3 linked regions of the Arabidopsis thaliana genome follow. The protein of the gene in region 2 interacts with the protein of the main gene of each other region in a pairwise test. Each region holds a gene or a part of one and is shown on either strand. Other genes may lie near its edges.

Region 1 (7,850 bases), on a different chromosome or scaffold from region 2:
ATCATCAATGATCCGCTTCATAAAGTAACCACCAACACAATTATTTTGGACGCCTCAAATCCAAACCTTATTTTCAATAATTGTGAAAAAAAAGAAAAAAAAAAGCTATATTGTGGTAGGTGGTTCGAACCACTCAAAAATATTTATGATAATAACACCCAAAAACAAACTAAACTATTATTTATTTATTGTGGTCATGAGATAGTTACAGACACAGAGAATACATCTGTCAGAAAGCTGACTCATTGTATCTTATCTTTCCCATTTCCTCTTACCTTTTTTCCTACGTGTTGCCACAAAACTCTCATCTTCACCCACTCAATCTCCGCCACGTGTACTCTCTAACCCTTCAGTTCGGTCTTTTTAAGGCTTCCCCAAGCCTTCGCATCCAAATCTCTCTTCTTTTTTTCTCTCTTTCTCATAACAACAAAAAAACAAAAAAAAAACCTAATTAGTTTTTTCTTTCTGCAGAGATTATGGAGGTACCGGTGATTAATAGAATAAGAGATTTCGAAGTTGGTATAAACTCGATTAATGATCCTTCGTTTCTTTCTCGATCTGTTGCTGTTTCCGGAATCGGAAAGCTACACCAAGCTTATGGTTTTTGGAAATGGGGAGCTTTGATTATCGCATTTCTAGCTTATTTCACCAACTTTGTTAGTAAACTCAACAGTCTAGTTGTTAGGTTAAGAAAAATAGATGTCTCTGTTTCCTCTCCAACTCTTTTTGATGATTACGATAGCGATTCCGATGTTTCTTGTTCCTCTACCGTCTCCTCTGACGATGAAAAAGACGAAGAAGATGAGGCTGATGATGAAGATGAGGATGTTGACTCGATCTTTAATCGAAGACGAGTCAACGGAGGTTTCCGCGTTAGAGGATCTGATTATTACGATGATGATGATGATCAGGGAGACAATGGTAATTGCACATGGATGGGGAGGCGATATAGTGGTAGTTTTGGAGATTTGTTCTCATGGCCTGATCTTGGTGGGATTGGTTCGAGTGGAGTCGTGAAGCTTTGGGATCATTTAGATATCGATGGCGATGATCATGAGAATGTTGTGGCAACGTTTCTCAAGAACTATAACTCAACCTCGTCACCGTTTTTTTGGGCGGCGGAGAAAAAAGGTGTTGACGCCGTTAAAGTGAAGGCGTGTGATCCACGCGCCGGTTTTCGGATGCCGGCTTTGCTCGCGGAGTGGAGGCAGCCGGGGCGGTTGTTAGGGAATATAATCGGAGTTGATACCGGTGGTGTGGAGAAAGTATACGTCAGGGATGATGTTAGCGGAGAGATAGCCGTGGGAGATTTGAGGAAGTTTAACGGTGTGTTGACGGACTTGACGGAATGTGAGGCTGAGACTTGGTGGGACGCTGACGTCCTTATCTCGGGCTGATGGAATCCTTGACGAGAGAAAATATTGGTTGGGACGGTTTTGTCTTAAAGTTAAGAGGACGGACGAAAGATTCAACGCCAAAAAGAAGTGTTAAAGATTAATGAGAACGACGCAACGTTTTGTAAATAATTTGTCTGTTTGCTTCTCTGCGATTTTTATTTTAAAATTTTAGTTTTGATTGAATAAAAATCAGCGTCAGATTAATAAAAGTGTTTGTGTGTTTGGTCGGTTACTAGTTCACTTGTTCTCTGGCTCCATGTGAAGTGAAGCCACTACCCAATGTGGCTGGTTACGAGTTTTCTAATAGGTTTGGAATTAAGTGATGTGATTAAAATATGACAGAAAGTCAGAAATCACAAAAAGAACAAATATAATATTGAAGATAATTCAGGATATATATTATACTAACATAATAGAAACTTGAAAAGATAACCATAACATTAAAACCCAAAAAAAAAAAAAAGATTAACCAATCCGACTTTATTTTTAAAAATAGGCCAAACATTTCTTTCATCATAATCTTCTTGGTGTAGATGTCACAATACAGATCAGATAGTTATTCCGGGGAATTTCATGCCTGAATCGATCAACCAGAACTTTCATACCTACGGTGGAGTAACCCGAGTAGTGCCCGTTCATGCAGATGAGTTTTTTTTTTCTGCCCGAACAAGAAAAAACTCTTCAAAAAAAGTTAAATAATTGATCTGATTTTAATTGAACACATATGTATTATTGTTATTATCGTATATTTCAATATGATTAATTTACTCAAATCATCAAATTACACGACAATTAATTATTCGTATAGAAGACAGAAACGTGTTGATCGAAACACATTATAGGGAAGTGAAAAGCTAAGGATGTGCGAGACGTTTTGGGAGCCACGTTTCTTTATTCGTGTGGTTCACATTTGCACGCAAACAATTCTCTTCAAGCATATAATTAACAAAAAAAAAGCTTTAGTTTTACAACTTTTTTTTTTTTTTTTTTTTTTTGATAAACCCTATCGGCTGATCCGGTTAGCCCCGGTAGAAACGCACCAAAGTACTTCAAAGTGGACTTCTCCCCGAAGGACCACCACACTGTCTATCCCGAGTTTGGATGATTTCCGACTAATGCCAGGGGGTAGTCAGGCCGCCTGCATTTCTGACTACCAGGTAAACCAATTGGGCCAAAGCCCAACTGACAGACTTCCCAAACAAATGTGATTTCTGTTTCCAGGGAAAGTTAGTTTTACATTTTACACCCGACTGCTTTTTGAATTATGAAAGATATTCGTATGTTTCGTGTTCTATGGAAGTAAGTGAACCGGGTTGTTTGGAAAAGTGATTTCGAGTTAAGATGGCATAATGTTTTTTGCTTTACAACAATGATTTAAAAACTGTATCGGACTGGCTAGTCGGACCAATTTAAAAACTGTATCGGACTGGGTAGTCGGACCAATTTAAAACTATACTGTTTTAGAAAACTTAACATTAAAAGGTAAAAACAATAAAAAAAATTCTCAACCTCTAAACAAAAATGCTTCCAATTTTAATTGATATGAAACATGAAACATTTTTGTAACCCATGAGATTACCCAATTTAGATGGCCAACTAGTTGACCAAGTTAAATACTTCTTTCATGAAATTTCCAATGGCTCTTTCTTCATAATACTTCTTTCATTTTTGGAATATTGCATGTAGGTACACCATGCAGTTTAGAGTCAATATTCATTGAAGATTTGAAAAGAGAATGTAATTATTTATTGGAGTGTCACTTCGAAAAGTAGATGTAGATTTGTGGACTAACAAAAAAGAAAACAAATACAAGAATTGTAAGTAGATGAGGAAATCAATATCATGATTACATAGTGGGGGGAAAAAACATAGTGGCATGAATGATTTTTTTTTTTTTTTTTTGTCAACATGGCATGTTGATAACGGGCCTAGGATCTATATATGACAAATATAGAGATAAATATGTTTTAATAAGTTATTTGGGCTCAGGAAGAGGGCCCTAAAGGTCTATAACAAAATTATATCAAGAAAAGGACTCTTTTTTTAGCCTCTCCTGATGGTCTCAGTTTCAGATGAACTATCAATTTGTTGAGGTGAACATGCTACACTTAACAAAATAAAACACAATTTATTTAATTGTATGCCATTAGTTTCCAGTTTTTTCTACTTGGTTTTAATGTTTCCAAAATTTCTACTACTGTTTTACTTTGGGGAGGCTACTAGAAATCAATAAAAATAACTAATACTCATCTCCACCTTCAGTTTTACATTTTTTCTAGTTATAAAACTTCCTCAAAGAATTGTTAAGATGGCACATAGACCGTCATTAGAAAAACTTTCTAAGATGAGCTTGAAGCTCATTTTAATGCGAAGCCCAATAATGCATTTCTGGTCTTCAAATATTTTGTTGAAGCCCACACGTTGTCGCTGAGATTTATGGAATAATTTATGTAAAAAGAACAGGTAAACCCTTAACTTTCATGTTTAAAACAACCAAATACAGATATTAAGTGACATTGTTTTTAGTTTGTAAAGTTAAGTGACATTTACACCAACTAATCACAGTGAAACAACTTATGAACGAACGAATGAACAAACCAATTGTATACATATAAAATAGAAATCATAAAAGCATATTTTATGGGAAGTCTTATTGGAACTTTTTTTTTTTTTTGCTAAGAAGTCTTATTCGGACTTAAAAACCAAGGGTCGAAATGAATCGGTCCGGTTCGGTGACATATACATAAGTTGAGTTGGAGAACCAAACAAGGTCATCGAGCTCGGTGTGAACAACGGCATATCAGTTAACTTCTGTCGTTGTGTTCTATCCTGACTAAACGGAGCCGCCGTGTTATCATCCCCGACGTTAACCTCTTCCGTCACAACAGAAGAGGAAGATTCACTAGTGTTCCGTCTAATAATCTCGTCTAGACCCGTCAGCCTTTGAACCAGGGCCATGAAGTCTTCGGCACGCGTGTGGATCACTTTTGGAGAATGCGCGTAGATGATAACCGGAGATGCCCGTCCATGTGGTCGTGGCTTCGACTTGCAAGACGACGTTTTCTTGATGGTGTGGGATTCTCCGGCGAGTTTTAGCGACGAAGGACGTGAGCCGTTGATCTCATTGCATCTTGTTGGAATCATGGTAGGTGAATATATCAAGAGAATGGAGAATGAAAGATCAAGAAAGCTTTGAAAATAAACAGAGTTCTTGTTGATATAATACGTATATATGTAGAATTACATTTGCGTGTAAGTATGGTTAAAACTAAATAAATCGTATTTTATTGCAGCCAACGATTCTGACCGTTGACTTTATTTATTTACGATTACAGTTTTATAGTAAAACGGCCGTTGTCGTTGAATAGTATTATAACATGCCTCAGGTATATCCTGTTGATTATTAATTTCTAACACATCAAAAACTCAAGGGCCGAAAATCTTGAATTGCTCTTTTTTTATATGAAATTGCAAGCATTCCCCTTTGCAACTTTTCCACTTCTTCAAAAATTTAAAATATAGTTCAAGCGATTTTAGTTATTTCAGAAATAAATTGCAATATTATTTTGGTGGAGATGTCTTCATATTTGGTCATCTTTGAATATTACTGGCTGTGACCATGCAAGGTTGGCTGCAGATGGTTGAAATGGATTTACTTCTCTCCTTTTACGTAATAAGAAATTTATGAAAATGTTCAAAACTATCGGCTTTTAAAAGTATAAAATAAATAATTAAACCTACTTACAGGCAGCTGAAACCATTAATCTATTTGTTATCCCCAAATTGCTGGGTATTATAAATTATATCATGGACATTGTTTTCTTGTATATATACATTAATTCACCCTGTTGAAATAAATAAACAACAGACGATATTTCTTTTGCAATTGGGCAATTTAAAATCTTACGTACCTATTTTTAGACAGAATCGGCTAATTGAGCTTCTTGTATGTGAATATCAATATCCTCCTACTCTGAATTTTTGCTTGAAAAGAAGATAAATGTTCTGTAATGAAAAAATGTATGAAACTTCTTTTCTTCGAGAAAAAAAGATGTACGAGTTTCGGCTAACAATCATCGATACGTTCAATGATTGCAACAACTAACAAGTAGCTCGGGCTATTTAACACAGTTTCCTAACTACAAGTATACAAAATATATTTGTTTTTTTGTCCGCTTAATTAACTATAATACTCCATGTCCGATGAGAAATCGAACACAACTTGTAAAACACTTATTGTTTATCAAAAGTCAAAAGCCTTTTTGTACATATTAAACTTTCCATTACTAAACCAAAATAGTTTTTTTGTTTTTGTTTTGTATCAATGTTGTTAAACCAAAATAGTTTTGTGAAATAACAAGAGTCACAAGACTTACAAAGTCAGCCTCTTTGTCCTCATCGATCCGTTAAAGACCTATTAGCAACTACTAGTTGGTACATACATAGATTATAATATACTTTCACCAGCATGATATAACTCACACTTATCATCTTATTCAAAGGGCTTACCATACCCAGAGAATCGAAAACAAATAAAAAACTTAATCCAACCCCAAAACCACTCTTGTAGTCCTTTTTCCTTAGCTTAGATTGTAATTTTTTTTTTTTTTTCGTTTTTTTTAGCAGTTTTCATTCAATTTTTCTAGTGAGTTTTAACTAGAATCTCCATTTGATGCACAATATGCACCAACAAAATCTTGTGCAACACCACATGTTAGCTTGTAACACACAAATATTTCCTTATGGGTTCTAACTAGAAATTAAGAAAGAAAGAAAAAATCTGGTCCAGATGCTATCAGTAATCCTGGTAAGCCCAAAAATGAGCCCAAATATCATCAGGTAAGATGAAGTAAACACATTTGTACGGATGAAAGCCCGAGCAACAAGTCACAAGCCAAAACTTATATAGAATTTTAAATTGGAAAAGCTGAGACCTCGAGATTATAGGATCACGCGTAAACACACCACCGCACGCGTACTATTGCATCATGTAGCTAACATTTGGATCTAACTCTGCCTATTGTTATTGTTTAGGCACTGTCATATTTAATGGAACCAAATTATTATGCGTCGGGAAAGAAAAACTCAAATAAATTAATACTACTACTTGAAGGACCGATTCAATTTTCAATAAAATTTGGCCTTTATTTCAATATTTCTTACACACCTCGGATCTCTCCCATCTACTGTTTGTTTTTTTTGTCTGTTCGTTGTCCCTTACGTTTGTACGTACATTTCTTTGTTATTTTAATATGCTTTAAAATTAACTTATTTCTAAAACAGTTTTTACTTGCTTCAAGCAACAGCATTTTCCTAATATAAACATATGATCACGCATGTCAGTTTCTTGTTTCACGTTATACAAATGCGTGTAAATGGTTTTCATTAAACTAAGCTTAATGGATACATTGTTTTTGGGTCGGAAATTTTAGTTCACTTGTCTTCTTTTTATTTCCCACTTTTCTACTACAAATTAAACTATACTCAACATCCACACATCTTGACGAATTTTTGATTGATACTTATTTTTGTATTTAAACTTGAATTTTTGCTAGGTTGAGAAAGATAAACTAAATTCGATAATTCAAAGTAAAAAATGTCTAATCTTGTAAACACTTTAAAAAGTGATATGTGGCGCATACTACATTAACATTTTACCTTAAATGATTTTCAGGAGTGTTATAAATAGAGGAGCTGATGAATTGTAAAGGAGATGGACTATTGTTGTAGTAAAAACATACTATTACGATCAATACAAAAAAAACTATTTGCTATTTATTACTGCTCTGCGATTCAATATATAATTTGTATTACGAGACCAAAAATTTATAGATTATTAAGTACGGATTCGATATCCACACTAGTCTGAAACACAATCAGTTTGCCTGATCTATACTTATCAGGATTGGATTGGAAGTCTTCCTTTAAATATGATGGGGATGGAATAGAGACTGGAAATGTGATTCCTATTGATATGGTGTTATAATCATGAAGCAAAAAATGTGGATAAAAAATTTGATCAACATAAATAGTCTTTCAACTGGTTTCAAATTTGTAAAGTAATATATGTGGAATATGTTTTTACTCTATGCGAACTATTTTTGTTGATCTTGGTTCTAAATTCAGCAATTTTTGTTTTTTTCATTTAGTCCATTACTAAGTACCAAAATGGAACACAAAACTTGATGAGTGGATTGAATGATTTTCTTTGTATTGTTAATATTTGGATGAAGATAAACCCTTGTGTAATACTAAACATAACGACCATTAGTCACAACCAAACCATGCATGTCATAATTAGTTTTCAACAAATTCATTAGTTATAGCATGTGTTAGAAGTTTGACTTTTAGTTAGTTTATCTTTCTTTGACATAAGTGTTTTGACTTTTTAAGTTTGACTTTATAAAACATGCAGAAATGTACATAGAATATTTGTATATAAAATAGAGGCCA
Region 2 (7,640 bases):
TATCTTGAGTTTCACAAGAGAGAATTACACAAGTGTGTCAAAGACTAGCTATAGTAATTTTCGACTAGCTCACTCTTGAATCTCTTTTATTACAAACTAGGTAATTACCCGCTATATTACAAGAAAACACGGGTTTTCAAACTACAACATTAGTAGCAATATACTCGTTAAAGTAGAAGTCGACTATATTACGAGTAATAGCCTTAGTCGCTAATCCAGAGTCGCTAAACAAAATAGTCGTAACTTTAGTCGCTAAATGACCACTACGATACGACTAATACCCGCTGTCATAACATTAGTCATATTGTAGTCGTAAAATATAACGACTGAGTTACGATTGAATCACATAAATAACGAGTATCGTAGAGACTCCTCTGCGATTATTTAGCGACCACCTAGATGAAAAAAAATTAATAAAATAAGTAGAATAAAATGAAAGTAGTGCTTGGTACATTATTATGATTTTTATTTATTGAATGTTTTTGAGAAAATTCATTTAAGAGTGAGATTAATGGAGAATTTAACACAACAAAAGACTTTTGATTTTTTCTCAATTAGTTTTGCTAGTTGAACCAATCCAACAAGTTAACTCACAAACCAATCAATAATTTCTTATTTTATTTTATTTTTATGAAGTTTGGTGCATTAATTTATAGAAGCAACGAGACATGCATGGCTATGTCCTAGCGAACATAGAGTAGTAGTTTATACAAGTATACCAAAGCTAAACCAGTCTCGTGAACTATATATATACGTCAACACCGAAACTTTGGAAATGTATAATACTTGTATAGTTAGTCTCTGTGTCTGATATTAAATTGTACATAAATTTCTTTATGATTACAGTTTTTTTTTCCCCCGATTTATTTGACACGGTTTGGGTTATATATATGATTAGTCACACACCGACTTGTAATATACTCTCCAATACACGCTTTTAAATTTGGTGCGTTCCAAACGGATGATAAGAACACCATGTCACACTAATCGGGTAGGGACGTCCACTAACCATATTGACAGTTGTATCAACTACAACTACACCATATATAACGGTAGATCCATTGCATTCGTGTGGAATCTATAGTGTTTATATTTGCATATATCATGTCAAATGATATTTTGCTAATGTAGGTAGGTGACGCCATAGAACTTTTGAATATATTAATATGGAATCAATGCTTTTAAGAAGTGGATGGTGATTATCATTTATCACTCTATCATCCCACGTTTCATACACGCTGCGACTTATATTTTGATTTACTTTTCTTATGGGTTTGGTCCAATTCCACCGCTAAACACTATGCACAAGTGCAAACAAATATTTAATTAAATTCAACTTCCGATTTAATCGGTCATTCAAATGAGACTAATGAGTCCACCAAACTCCACAATTAGATACCCATAAATAAAATAGAAAATTCGAGGTTATCAACGTGCGATAAGATCCACTTTTTGGGTTATATAATAACTAAATAAATGAACAAAACAAAAATAGATTTGACTAAAATTTGGCTATAAATAAATTTGAGTTTCAAAGAAGCCAAACCCGTCAACACATCTTCTTTAAGCATCTCTCTCCCTTCAAAGAAAATATCACAAAAATGGCAAACGTCTCCGCTTTGCTCACCATAGCTCTTCTCCTTTGCTCCACGCTAATGTGCACTGCCCGCCCCGAACCGGCCATCTCCATCTCTATCACGACTGCTGCCGATCCATGTAACATGGTTAGTCTGATTCACATGCCATGCATGAATCAATTTCCATATATAAACACAAAATAACCAATATCAGAGCTTCTAAATTTTTAAAAATATTTAACACATCGAATAGGTTTAATAAATTTTTTGTAATGTATGATGATTACTTTGGCAGGAGAAGAAGATAGAAGGAAAATTAGATGACATGCATATGGTAGACGAAAACTGTGGTGCAGACGACGAAGATTGCTTAATGAGGAGGACTTTGGTCGCTCATACTGATTACATCTATACCCAGAAGAAGAAGCATCCTTGATTTTCACTTACTCATTTCTAACAAACTTTTGCTCAAGATTATGTAATTTATGTCATCCTTAATTAGTATTTGTCACATACAAGATCAAGATAGTTATGATTGTGATTATTTATATGTATTTTGGATGATATATTGTAGAACTAGAAGTTTGACAATAAAAAGTTTATAGTGTCGTTGTATGTTTAAGAAGTTTGACAATAAAAACTTTATAGTGTTGTTGCATATATGTGTTGAAAACTCATTAAAAACACACACACACATGAAGTACGCGTATATTTATAAATAAACTATAAAATTGAGAGTGGATTCATGGAATCTTTTTTATTGAAAATACATGTTGGCTTGTTTGATTAGTTGAGAGACTGCTAAACATTTATTTCATATAACTAGCAAAGATCGATATATCGTCGTGTACACAAAAGTACTACTGTATATGTTTGATCGAATCTGAAGAACCAAATTTATATTTTCAGACTGATTGTGTATATGGTCTCGTAATATACAATCATATGATAATTAGCCATCACTAATGTAGTCATGTCTTTATGCTGAAAGAGTGTAGAGACTCTGCCGTCATAATGCAGCTGTTAACTACGAGAGCGAAGCTAAATATTTTTGAAAAGCTCCCACTTCAATCGAACGGAGGGAAAAACCTCTTGCGCATGGAATAGAGTAGTCAACAATCATTTGTAATTGTAATAGAAAAAACTAGTTTAATTAGAAATTGAGCATCAAATTTAAACAGCTCTGTAAAATTTTCTAATTGTAATAAGAAATTTTTGTTATATCTGTCTTAAAATATACACCAAAGGTAGACACAATATCTCCTACAAGTGCACATTCAACTTCTAGATATAGACAAAGTTCCAAACTTATAATAAGTTTTTTTGCAAAGTTATTGGTTATAATTAAGTTTAATTGGTTTATCAATGGGTAAAGTATACAGTAAACTGATTAAACCTAGCTATGTGGGTTATAGATCTCGAACTATTTACTCGAAGTACATTAAGTTATAGAACTTTCATTTCGGAGAAAATAAGGATAAAACTTTTATTTTATAGACATATGAACTAGAGTTAAAATATATGAGCTCTATCTACTGATACTTTTTATGAGAAAATAGACCTTTTTTCTAAAATTATCTTTGATGAAAATTTTGTTTGGTACTCCAACATGTGTACAAAAGTTGCGCTAGATCAAAACATATGTAAGTAACACAACTTATGACATTCTTGATTGCAAAATTAGTTAAAATCTAGTTGTTTTTATATTATTGTTGACACAAAAAAAAATGTCAGCATATGAAAGCCTCCGTCTGAAGCAGAAGGAACGACTCTGGTCTAAAACTCTAAAAACCCTATCTTCTTCGTTCTAAACCCAAAACACACACAAAACAAAATGGTGCTACTTCTCCGATATCGATCCTTAACGATAAATCTCACTCCTCTAATACCCAAATCTCAAAAATTCCACACTCTCCAATCATTTCGTAACCCTAATTTCATCTCCATCCCAAAAATCTCAGCCTCCACGAACAATCCAACAACAACAACGAATCGGTCGATCTCCGACGCGACTAAATTCGCTAAGTCAGTGTTATTCATACCTCCTGGTGTAGAGATTGAGGAACTAACAGATGATATGGTTCTTCCGGGTTCAAATATCGTAATCGGACCTTTTGCGGGTCATTCACAAATCAAAGAAGTTGAATTTGTTAAAAGTAGTGCTCGTGCTAGAGATTGTCCTAAAGATGATCGTCCTGAGATTGCGATTTTGGGTCGTTCTAATGTTGGCAAGTCTTCGCTTATCAATTGTTTGGTTCGTAAGAAAGAAGTTGCTCTTACTTCTAAGAAACCTGGTTTGTGTTTTTATTCCTTTCAATTTGGTTATAAAAATCGAACCTTTTAAGTTTTGGAAATCTGAAAGTTTGGATTTTTATTTGGTGAAACAGGGAAGACTCAGCTTATAAATCACTTCTTGGTGAATAAGAGTTGGTACATTGTGGATTTGCCTGGTTATGGGTATGTGTTTTGATCTCTTGCTTTTGGATAAAACAATCAGTTTTCTTTGGCTAAATTTGGTATATTTCAGTTCATTTTGGTAAAATTTAGGATAAGAGTTCGGTATTTTTGGTTTGGTAGTTCGATTGGCTTAGTTCTGAACTGGTACATTTGGATAAAATTTCAGTTTAGTATAGTCTATTAGTAATTTTACTTAAACTTAGAATTAAGTTTTGGTAAATTTAGTAAGGTGGTTCCGAACCGAACCGGTTGAGTTGGCTAACTCGGTTTGAACTGATACATAGTGGATTTGGATATGTATTTGTTGATATCTTGCTTTCAGATAAACGTTATTATTGTTTGATGTTGAGAATATATTTGCAGATTTGCTAAAGTTTCAGATGCTGCGAAAACAGATTGGTCTGCGTTTACTAAAGGTTACTTCTTGAATAGAGACAGTCTTGTTTGTGTTCTACTTCTCATCGATGCAAGTGTTCCTCCTCAGAAGATTGATCTTGATTGTGCTAATTGGCTTGGTCGCAACAATGTATGTGGTACCAATTCTGGCTTTTGTGTGTTCAGTGAAATGTTGCTTTGAGGACTTGTTAAATGACGTTTTTCGATGATTTTTCAGGTACCGATGACTTTCGTGTTTACGAAATGCGATAAAATGAAAGCAACGAAAGGGAAAAGACCTGATGAGAACATTAAAGCTTTCCAACAAATCATTAGAGAGAATTTTAAAGTACATCCTCCTTGGATTTTGACGAGTAGTGTATCTGGTTTAGGCAGAGACGAGCTTCTTCTTCACATGTCGCAGCTGAGAAACTACTGGGATCAATAGGTAGCGCGTAAATTTCGTAAACAAATGTTCGAAAAGGTCGGTTTTGAATCATTGGTTATATCAAATTGTAGTTTTGTAATGTAACAGTAACTTTTGTATTTAAAGATAAGATCATAAAGTGTTACTACTACAGTTCTAATTCTGATGAAACAAATTCATGAATTGCCGAAAAATTGGCAAGAATAGCTTCTTTCTTGCTACCATCTTGATAGATTAGCAGGACTAAGCAGAGGGAAAGCTTCCCAGAACCGAGATGACGAAGGTGAAAGATCAAACGCGAACGGATTATCCTTAGCTGTTGTTGTATCATCAGAAATCTTGACTGGTTTAGCTTCAACTTGATGTACCTCTTGCTCAACGTCTTCTGCACCAGTTAGCCTCTGAACTAACTCCTTGAAGTTAACAGGCTCGACTCTGTAAACTTTAGGATGCATCCTCTGAGGCAAGCCCGTTACGGGTTTTTTCCATGGCTTTGCCGGTTGCTTACGGGTCGAATGAAGTGAGGAGTTATGAGAGAAACATGGTTGTGAAGTAGCTTCCATGACGATCAGAAGTTTCTGTAATACACAAATGATTTGAAGCGAAGTGTCTTACCTTGATGGCTTTGTGTGTACACATATAAGTATTTATAAGTGTGTGGACGGCATTATTATGTCAACGTTTTGAAGCGTGTAAGTCATTTTGGGTTTTATGATCTTCTTTTGCGGCTTACTTGGTTTTTGACTTTTAAGTGAAATGAATGGGAACGAGATGGGATGATTCATGGAATTGAAATGTCAACGTGGGTGTGCTAACTATTTTTATTTTCTTGTTTATTTAAATGTTAGGTGAAAAGCAATGAGTACATTTTTGGATTAACGTAGTTTTTGTTAAAAAATAATCTAGATGACATGGCAACGGTGTCATTAGTAACATGGCATTCATGTCATCATTATCATCAAATATGTGGTATCTAACGTCAGCAGAATATATAATTTTGCATATAATTTGATAAATTAGGTATGTAATTTAATTTTATTTAAAAGATTAAGTATATATTAACGCATAAGAAATTATTAGATATAAATTAAACATTTGAACTTTGGTTGGGTGGTATGAAATAAGGTTGTGCCTTAATTAGTTACCTTCCGTTAGGATCCTGAAAACTGTTTAGGTCCACAACTACACAATATAACAAGCAAACAAAACTTTTGCTTCCGAGTGTCAGAGTAAAAGCAATAATGTAAAGAGATATCTCGATAAGTGATGAGACTCAATTATCCGCATAGAAAAAAAAAATATGTATAACGGAGAAAGATATCCTATCTACAAACCTTGAATATCACTTTCCATACAATGCAAACATTTTAGAAATTGTTACATTTACCCAAAAATGATATATTAAACTTATCAAATCTATCACAATTGTGATCTACATGTTTTTAAGTAAAAGAAAACATTTGGTTTTTGACATATTATATCTTAAACTAAATATAAATTAATCTCGAAGCCGCGGCTAAAAAATCGAGTTTTTCCCACTTAAAGCGAAGAATATAGCTAAAAGTGACGGCTAACATTTGGATATGTCGGTTTCTTCCGTCATTCGTAGTTTGGCTCGGTCCATGACCTCGGTCTCACCCCAAGTTGGATATACAACACCATCTCCATTGCCTTAAAGACATTGCTTTCATCCAAAACCTTGTTCCACACCCCACTCACTACGCAGTAATTGTTGTTATACGGTGCTCGGTGATGATTCATGTGATGTATCCGTGAAACAAGAAGCCCAATGTCTTGCAACCCAACCACAAGAGGTGGAAGCTTGCTCTTCGTTCCATGAGCCCAAGCATGGAACAACTGACAAAACAATACACAAAATGCAAACATGCTTACAAAGCCATGAACCACATGGTCATCAAAAGCAAGGTCTAGTGGGAGAACTATCAAGGTTGTGCCTCGAGCCATAAAATGTAGATTGTTTGCAAATTGCCGTTTGGTGATTGTCCATGGACACTTGTGATGATCTTGAGAGTCTTCGATATGGATTCCTACTAGAGGCGTAGACTCATCACCGTAGTTATCGGTGGCCCAGTGGTACACACCAGAACCTAGATCTGCTAAGATATACCCGGCGAAACCGGCTAAAGATGGTTCGAGCCAGAGATGAGAACCAAATGCTCCAATGATTGATTTGGAAAAAGAGACAAACACGGTGGTGCAGCCAGCTGCAACCCATAACCGGTGAGTCCATGTAGATTGTAGAGTTGGGTCGTTGGAGAGAGGAGGATTCACAAGTCGTTGCTCAACAACAAGCTTCATCTCATGGTTAGGCTGAGAGTTGGTGGTGGAAGTGACACGGAGAAACGATGGACGGTGGCTTCTTGGGATGTTGTTTGTGATGGGATTTAGAGTGTATTTGGTTTGAAGAGATGTAGCCATTGAAGCAGAGTATGTGATGTCTGAAAAGATATATCAAGTTTCTTGTTTTTTTTTCCAAAGCTAAATAAAACAAGGATATGTTTTTTTTTGTGACAGGATAAAAAAATCATTTAAAAGAGATAATTTTGACCAAAGAAAGTAAGAGAGTATTGAGATAATAACATTCAAAGAAAATCTCAAAAAATTTGGATTAATTTATGAAGTTACCAACTAAAACCTAACATTAAAAAGTATTATTAAACCCAAAATTACTCGTTAATACAGATTTCTATATATATTTATTTTTTCTTTAGAGAAAACTTTAGGAATAAAAAAACATTTACTTGGAGATGCGTTAAAACAAAAATAAAATATTCACTTGGTTT
Region 3 (8,283 bases), on a different chromosome or scaffold from region 2:
ATTGAGCTTTTTCTTGAAGCGATAGGATCGAAAGAGATTGTGTCTGATGAAGTAACGTACCTCTTGGCAGCGAGTGCTGTTTCAGCGTTGCAGCAAGTAGAACTAGGCAGGCAGTTTCATGGTTTTGTGAGCAAGAACTTTCGAGAGCTACCGATTGTGATTGTTAACTCGTTGATGGTGATGTACTCAAGGTGTGGTTCTGTGCACAAGTCATTTGGAGTCTTTCTTTCCATGCGAGAGAGAGATGTTGTATCGTGGAACACTATGATCTCTGCATTTGTCCAAAATGGCTTAGATGATGAAGGATTGATGCTGGTTTACGAGATGCAGAAGCAAGGGTTTAAGATTGATTACATAACTGTGACAGCTTTGCTTTCGGCTGCATCAAATCTTAGAAACAAGGAGATCGGGAAGCAGACTCACGCTTTCCTTATCAGGCAAGGGATTCAGTTCGAGGGAATGAACAGTTACCTTATCGACATGTATTCTAAGTCAGGTCTAATTAGGATATCACAGAAGCTTTTTGAAGGAAGTGGTTATGCTGAAAGAGATCAGGCTACTTGGAATTCTATGATTTCCGGGTACACGCAGAATGGACACACAGAGAAAACGTTTCTAGTGTTCAGGAAGATGTTAGAACAGAATATACGACCCAATGCGGTAACTGTGGCATCAATTCTCCCTGCTTGTAGCCAAATAGGTAGTGTTGACTTGGGTAAACAGCTCCATGGTTTCTCTATCAGGCAATACTTGGATCAGAACGTATTTGTGGCTTCTGCGTTAGTAGATATGTATTCAAAGGCAGGAGCAATAAAGTATGCAGAAGACATGTTTTCTCAAACGAAAGAGAGAAATTCTGTGACATACACCACGATGATACTGGGGTATGGCCAACATGGAATGGGCGAGAGAGCTATCTCGCTGTTTCTCTCAATGCAAGAGTCGGGAATCAAACCCGATGCTATAACCTTTGTTGCAGTGTTATCAGCTTGCAGCTATTCAGGTCTAATAGATGAAGGTCTCAAAATATTCGAGGAAATGAGAGAAGTTTATAACATTCAGCCTTCAAGTGAGCACTATTGCTGCATTACAGATATGTTGGGGAGAGTTGGGCGGGTGAATGAAGCCTACGAGTTTGTTAAAGGACTTGGTGAAGAAGGGAACATAGCTGAGCTATGGGGTTCACTACTCGGGTCTTGTAAACTACACGGTGAGCTTGAGCTTGCTGAAACTGTTTCGGAGAGGTTGGCTAAATTTGATAAAGGGAAGAACTTTTCCGGGTATGAGGTTTTGCTCTCGAATATGTATGCTGAGGAACAAAAATGGAAGAGCGTTGATAAGGTGAGGAGAGGAATGAGAGAAAAAGGTTTAAAGAAAGAAGTTGGTCGTAGTGGGATTGAAATTGCAGGTTACGTCAACTGTTTTGTGTCTAGAGATCAAGAGCATCCTCATTCTAGTGAGATTTATGATGTAATCGACGGTTTGGCTAAAGATATGAGAGGCGATTCGTTTCTGACAACATTGCCAACTGTTACTCCAAGTTTGGAATTGGATGAGTGAAGAGTGCCAGTAACTCTTTAGCTCTCACAGAACATGGAGATAAAAGCAAGAGGTGATTCAAGGCCTTAAAAAGTGAGTAAGCCTTCAAAAACTCTCATTTCTTTGCTTTCTGAAGCTTTTTTGTTGGTGACATAGAAGCAACTCTTTATGGTGATAAACACTCTTGTTCATCATTGTCTTCAGTAATTGTTCTAACACCATTAGTCATGACTGGAATCGAAACTCGACCCGACAGGAGATGGAGATTTAAACCCATTGTGCAGTTTGGTCTTTGTATACACTATTACAAGCTAATCATAAAGAAGGCAGAGGAGAAACTGGAAACAAAGAAATGTAGATAAACCAACATCATTGTAGTTTCCTTGCTCTCATCTTCACTCTAGGCATCTTCTCGTGTATACTTAAAGTTTTAAATATTATAATTATTTTCATTTTTTCATAATTTAAAATCTTTAAACAAATGATGAATGGAATTGGATTTTTATTTTTTGTACAAAACAAAAATAAATTTATATAACAAAATCATTGCCTAATTATATAAAAAGTGATTATAAACAGCAAAATTATTGCCTAATTAAATAAAGAAAATTAAAAATAATGGCCTAATTTAAACATAGAGTTTTTACAATTTTATTTTATTTATATACACATTTTAATGTGGTGGAAGAGCCTATATTTTGATTTACACATGTGATTTATAGTCAAATACCAAATGAGGAGTTTGAAAATTACATGACCATCTAAAAACTAGAGTACAACCACTAGTCCACCACTACATAAACTTATAAGAAATATCTATATACAAAAGTACATGCATTTTTGATACAACTACTCTAAAAACTGGTAGTTGAAAGAATTTTAGAAAGTTCAATTCAAACCAACAATGTGTTTCCAATCACTTGCTAGTCTAATTGTTAAACAGGTATTTTAAAGCTTTTCAATATAATTTTCATAAGTTAATTTTACATGATACATAAACATTATAATTTATCAAAATATTAGTATTACTGAACTTGAATGAACTTTATATTTCTGTACATATTGTTTTTTACTAATTTATTAAATTTAATTTTTTTTTTTGCTAATAATGTAAATATTCATTGATGATGAAATTAGAAAATTAATTCATTTTGTAGAATACATGAACTCATTTGAAACATGAACATTACTGATGTGGAGTAGTGATATATAATTTAGTTACAACATACGAATCTTTAAAGATAAAGATTCTTAGTCTTTAAAAATGTTTTGTAAGTGGTTATTGAACTCAAAATGTAAACTTAAGAAATGCAAAATAAAGTGAAATTTCACTGTAAGGGGGTATATATATAGGACCCACAATGTGTTGAGATTCATCCCCTCTTCCCAATCCATTTCTTACTCATTTTTTGTCATATTGTCAATTTATTATTCCTTTATATTATTTATATCTTTATCATCTACAAGAAACACGACTACGGCATGCTAAATTATTCTCTTTCGTTTAATTTGTGGACTTATCGTAAGAATCTAAAATCTAAAGACAAATGCCAAAGAAAAAAAAAAAAAAATCTAAAGACATATACTCATAAGTTATCCATTGTGAATGCGAGGCTTTGGTTTATTTGCCAAACTCTATATTACATCGATCGATTTTACGTCAAAGACCCGTCTCAGTCTAAATCATAAATACAAATTACAATCATAATCAATATTAGGTCGAGGGATTTAAAGGAAAAGAAAAAAAACGATAACGTAAGAATCTAGACATGTTGGTAGCCTAACTTCACCAAAACACTATATATCTCCTTGTTTCCGAACGAAAGGCAAGTTTGGTTTTCTATATGATCCAATAGACTAATTTTCTCCATATTTTACTGTTAAAGATTATTCTGGTCCCTCAATATATTTTAGTAAGTTTCAGAATTTAAAGCCGAATAATTTGTGAAAAGGAAATGGCTAATCACTGTTTTTCTTTCGACAAGTCATATGAAAATATATTGTGCGGTGCCATGAGAAAAAGTTACATTATAAAGCTCGATATTCTCAATTATTGCACTAATTTGGTAAAGTTACATTCACATTAATTTCATGTATCTGAAACTATTCTATCCAATAAGAATACAAAACTTTGAGATAAGCTAATTGCCAATTTCCTCCATTTTATGCACGTTTTATATGCATTCTTTGACTAATGTATGAGAATTATATCTTTGCACATGCACTTGAGAACTTCACGTGAAAATGTTTGATTTCTTGTATATGTGATTGTGTTCTAGTTTTAATTGAACTTTAAGTCTAATAAATTATTAGAAGTATAAATTCCATCTAATCTATGAATAATAATTTATTTTCTTGAGATTAAAAAAATATAAGGATTTGTTTGGAAAACATTTTTATTTATTTTTCTAATCGACAATTTGCAGTTTGAAAATGCAAGCATGCAACTTCAGCATTGAATTATATGCCTATTTAGGTCCATGATAACGCCATAATTAAATAAAAAACTTATGCTAAAAACCTAAAACAAAGATAAAATCTCCAAATATGAAAGAAAAAAACTTAAATATACAAAAAGTCAAAGTTTTCATTCTATGACAAAGAAAGTCAGTACCTAACATTTCTGCCTTTATGCGAAAACCAAAAAAAAAAAATTCAAAAAGAATCCAATCGTTTTCTCATTGCAACCTCGAAGAAGAAGAATTACTATTCGTAGCCTCCTTTGACGACGGAGCAGAACCTCCTCCACCAGAACCATCCACCGTCCCAAACACACCGGAAACCATCGTATTAGGGTTGTTCATGTTACTATATCCAACCACGGGATTCACGTTGTTCAAAGAAAACATGTAAGGCCGTTGCGGTGGCTGAAGCGGCGCGTGAGGCTGGAAATTATATTGCCAAGGAGCTTGTTGAGAAGATCCAGCTGATGGATCCGACGATGAAGTGAGGCTAAAAGCAGAAGTAGTATTACCGGACCCGAAAGCCATAGCGGATGGACCGCCAGTGTATTGCTGAACCATGGCACGGAAGTTGGAAGTGTCGGTGTTGAGAAGCGTTGTTGGTGTTCTACGTGAGGCTCTGGACCTTCTACGTGTTGGCTTGGTTACACGGCCAGTTTCTGGACTCAGACGAGAGTCTATGGAGGTGGTATCACCGGCAGTGGTGGTTGTAACAGCGGTTGAAGCGGTGGTAGAAGTTGTGAAGAAGGTTTGGTTATTGTTGTAGAACTGAGACCACTCGTTGGGGTTAGCCATTTTTGTGTGTGTCTAAAGACAAGACTCCGTGAGATTGTAAGAAAGAAAAAAGCATTTGCCTTCGTTAGTTCTTTATATATTTATTTGATTGTGTTTTGATTAAGACTTAGTCAAAGGAAAGACTATTCTATATCAATCCTGACCGTTGATATTTAATTACACGTTGATTTTTTGGCTTTACATTTCATTCTTAATTGCCAAAAAAAAAAGGTTGTAACTATTTTACGTACTTTATTAATACAATGTTTAATTTGATTCGATAATATCATGATTTGGAAAATAATAAAATAATAGACCTCACGAAGTTACAATTAGTTGAGTCTTACCAATAAACTAGAGTTTAGTTTGGTATTGGCTACTTTCCCAACAAGTTGACGAAATTGGCCCATTTCACTGTATTTGTATGCTTTTGTTGAAATACTTAACAAGTCCCTCACTTTACATAATCGTCACAAAGCTGACGGCATATACATTTCTTAACGAAACGTTAAGATATTCATAATAACGTTGCTTCTTGCCTGCTTAGTGCTTAGTGTAGTAGCCGTTCTATATAGCACACTAGGTACTTAATATGCTTAGTGTAGTAGCCATATTATATGGCACGAATTAAATAACGACGGTCGTACGATAATAACGACATGACATTTGCTATATATTATACATGGGTATCATATTTAAATATCGACGTAAATAAAATATGATACACTCTCGGCTGTGATTGTATATATTGCGAACCAATATATCCGTTTCTTTGAAGATCGTTGCGACATGAACCAAAAGAAGATTGTGAAGGCAAATCTTTCTCTGCTTCCAAATATTGTTGATTACAACTTGTGGAACCACTTTCTTAAAAGAAGCAATTGGGAGATCTCTTTGTATTTGTCATTGTTCAAGCCGATTATTAAGGAATATTATCTATGTATGATCATAGATAGTCAAGACATTAGAAGGTCATTAACAAAAAGATTCAAGAGCTTGGTAGCTAGCTAAGAATAGTTGTAACCATATGATGTTAAGAAAAGTGTTTGTATTATCAAATTTCGTAGGAAATTCAAGATATGTCATGTGAAGTTTCTTATACCCTTGAGGGCTATTAATTAGTTAAGATAATGATTCTTTAAATCTAGTGTGGTTAATAAACTAAAGAAAGATTAGTTACTACTAGTATTTTCATAATGTGTATGTATCATTTACGTAATTTATTAAGAATGAGTGGACACAAATTAATTGACTGGTTAGGTGACTTTGGAATGAAAAGACGACCGAAAAGGAAACTAGTGAGAAATTTCAAAGAAAACCATAATCTGATTCTGACGTTGCGATGCGTAATAGGAACTACATCATCCTTCTCTTTCTTCTGTTTGTTACAAATTCTGCATCCATCAAATATATAATAGACATGTAAAGAGGGAGAGTACTTTCCATGGAAATTTTGTTATGAACTAAAACTTTGTAAAGTTTAGGGTGTATTGAAAAAATCGATACTTTTATAAACGAAATATAGGATAAGGATTAGTTTACGTTTATAAATTCGAGATAAGGGATTTAATTTTATTCTTACACTAATAAAAGCGGTTTTGTGGTAGAGAAAAAAATCTAAAAAAAAGGTTGTGTAGTATAGAAAAAGAACATTAATTTTGTTTTTTTTTCTCTACCACACAACCCCTTTTATTAGTGTAAGAATAAGATTAAATTTTTTATTTTAGAATTTATAAACATAAACTATTCCTTATTTTATATTTCGTTTTTAAACGAAATCTCTTTATTCACATTAAATATAAGAGTTGTGTGCATTGTTTTCCTAGGGATTCATAAAACAACAACCTAAGAAAGGGATTTCGTTTGACAGACATTTGATAATGTCTATGTATGAATAAAATATGAGGTGTTTTGTTGGATCAATTATGGGATTGACACAAAAAACTTTATCCTATTGTTGGATGCGGCATTTTTTAAAGTGATTACAAGATTGAGTACTTTATTTCCTTTTGATTATCTATTTTACCTTTTTCAATTTAGCAAGTAGCAATATGCACTTTTAATTTGCAAACTGAATCTAGATCGCAAATTTGTCATCCGAGAGGAATGCATATTTGATTTTCGATCTGAAGATTGCCCACCAAAAACACCAATTAGATGATATTTACAGAAGAATCGAGATTCTTTTAGTTAATTTAGGATTGTTTAAAAAAAAATATGCATGTATGCACAATACCAAAACCGAAAATTCCCTTATAAATCCGTGAAATTTGTTGTTTGGGTTCTCTATATACTATCACCTTAGGGTTTAATTTTCGTGATTAAAAACGATTGAAATTTTCTGGAAAAATAAAGGAAGAAAATCAACAAAGAGAAGAAGAAACGAAGATGAACAACGAAGAAGAAGAACAGACAGAGGCAAAATAGTCCATTTATATATCAGCAAGTACCCATTTTCGTAAGCCAATTAAAAATGTTCCTTTTTTCTAATTTTTGGGCTAAAAAGTACCCAAATTAACAAAAGCCCCGTGTTTTGTTATTTACCAAAACATCTCAGATTTTAAGTACATTTTAATTAAGGGTTTATGAGTACAATTGTACGATCTTTAAGGATTTAGAGTATAGACTTTCTTTTTTTAACTTAAGGCAGCAAAACGTGTCATATCGGACCTAATGTATCGAATGTTTGTGAAGTGTTTAAAAAAAAAAAAAACACTATGTTTGAATGTAGGGAATGACCTAGAAATTAGAATAAGTTTTTACATGTGACCAGAATTTTTTTGGAACAATAAACGAAAAATGAGTCTCAATTGCAAGAGAGTCTTGCTTGATATGTAAGAAAAAAAGCATTTTCCTTAGGCCACTAAAAAATAATCAAATAAAACGCCACATTTTTTTTCTACATATATCACATTTTTAATGTGTTTTAGGACTTTATTTTGAAAACAAAATTCATCTCTTTAACATTTATAGAAATTTTTGTTTGTTTTTTTACATTAAATTACTAAATCGTATTTATTCATTAATGTTTTTTTTAATAACAGTATTTAAATAATTTCTTCTATACAAAATAGAATGTTAGGCCACATTTTAATAATTTGCCTAAAAGCTCTATTTGCCAAAAGAAGAGAAAAATTGTTTATGATTACTCAAAAATAATAATAATAAATTTATGATCCTTCTCTGATTTTAAAGAATTTTATATTTATACTATGTAACCCTCTCTCCTCTCTTCAACAAGATTCAAACCGCCAATAGCATACCACAATTTTGTTTGTAATTTGGGCAAGATTAATCACAAGATACAAATTTGAGAAACCTAATCAAGAGAATTAACAAGAGTTTACAAATAGAGAATATTCTTGTAACACTGTTTCTTCACCTCTTAAATCGAACAGTCAAATGATCAAACATATGATCATCAGAACTAATACAAACAATATTAACAGAATCGAATCTCTGAGAATAAAGGCGAAACAATACAACATCCTATTTTTAACACTTGAGA

What was found. The genes of interacting proteins can lie anywhere in the genome.
Region 1: the proteins of AT2G22880 (region 2) and PDE337 interact in a two-hybrid assay, tested with the Arabidopsis thaliana proteins (one study listed by BioGRID).
Region 3: the proteins of AT2G22880 (region 2) and AT3G22160 interact in a two-hybrid assay, tested with the Arabidopsis thaliana proteins (one study listed by BioGRID).

What each region holds. Positions count from the first base shown.
Region 1 is NC_003070.9:25,657,639-25,665,488, forward strand, and holds PDE337 (VQ motif-containing protein), read right to left. Parts: upstream 4,639-7,850; 5' UTR 4,542-4,638; coding exon 4,083-4,541; 3' UTR 3,849-4,082; downstream 1-3,848. Other genes in the region: AT1G68440 (uncharacterized protein), read left to right, coding at 477-1,397.
Region 2 is NC_003071.7:9,736,065-9,743,704, forward strand, and holds AT2G22880 (VQ motif-containing protein), read right to left. Parts: upstream 5,400-7,640; coding exon 5,055-5,399; downstream 1-5,054. Other genes in the region: PSK2 (phytosulfokine 2 precursor), read left to right, coding at 1,602-1,724, 1,873-2,013; EMB2001 (P-loop containing nucleoside triphosphate hydrolases superfamily protein), read left to right, coding at 3,412-3,871, 3,965-4,034, 4,398-4,560, 4,648-4,857; AT2G22890 (Kua-ubiquitin conjugating enzyme hybrid localization domain-containing protein), read right to left, coding at 6,436-7,275.
Region 3 is NC_003074.8:7,813,931-7,822,213, forward strand, and holds AT3G22160 (VQ motif-containing protein), read right to left. Parts: upstream 5,056-8,283; 5' UTR 4,797-5,055; coding exon 4,218-4,796; 3' UTR 3,849-4,217; downstream 1-3,848. Other genes in the region: AT3G22150 (Tetratricopeptide repeat (TPR)-like superfamily protein), read left to right, coding at 1-1,560. UniProt on the Arabidopsis thaliana protein: May function as positive regulator of plant growth.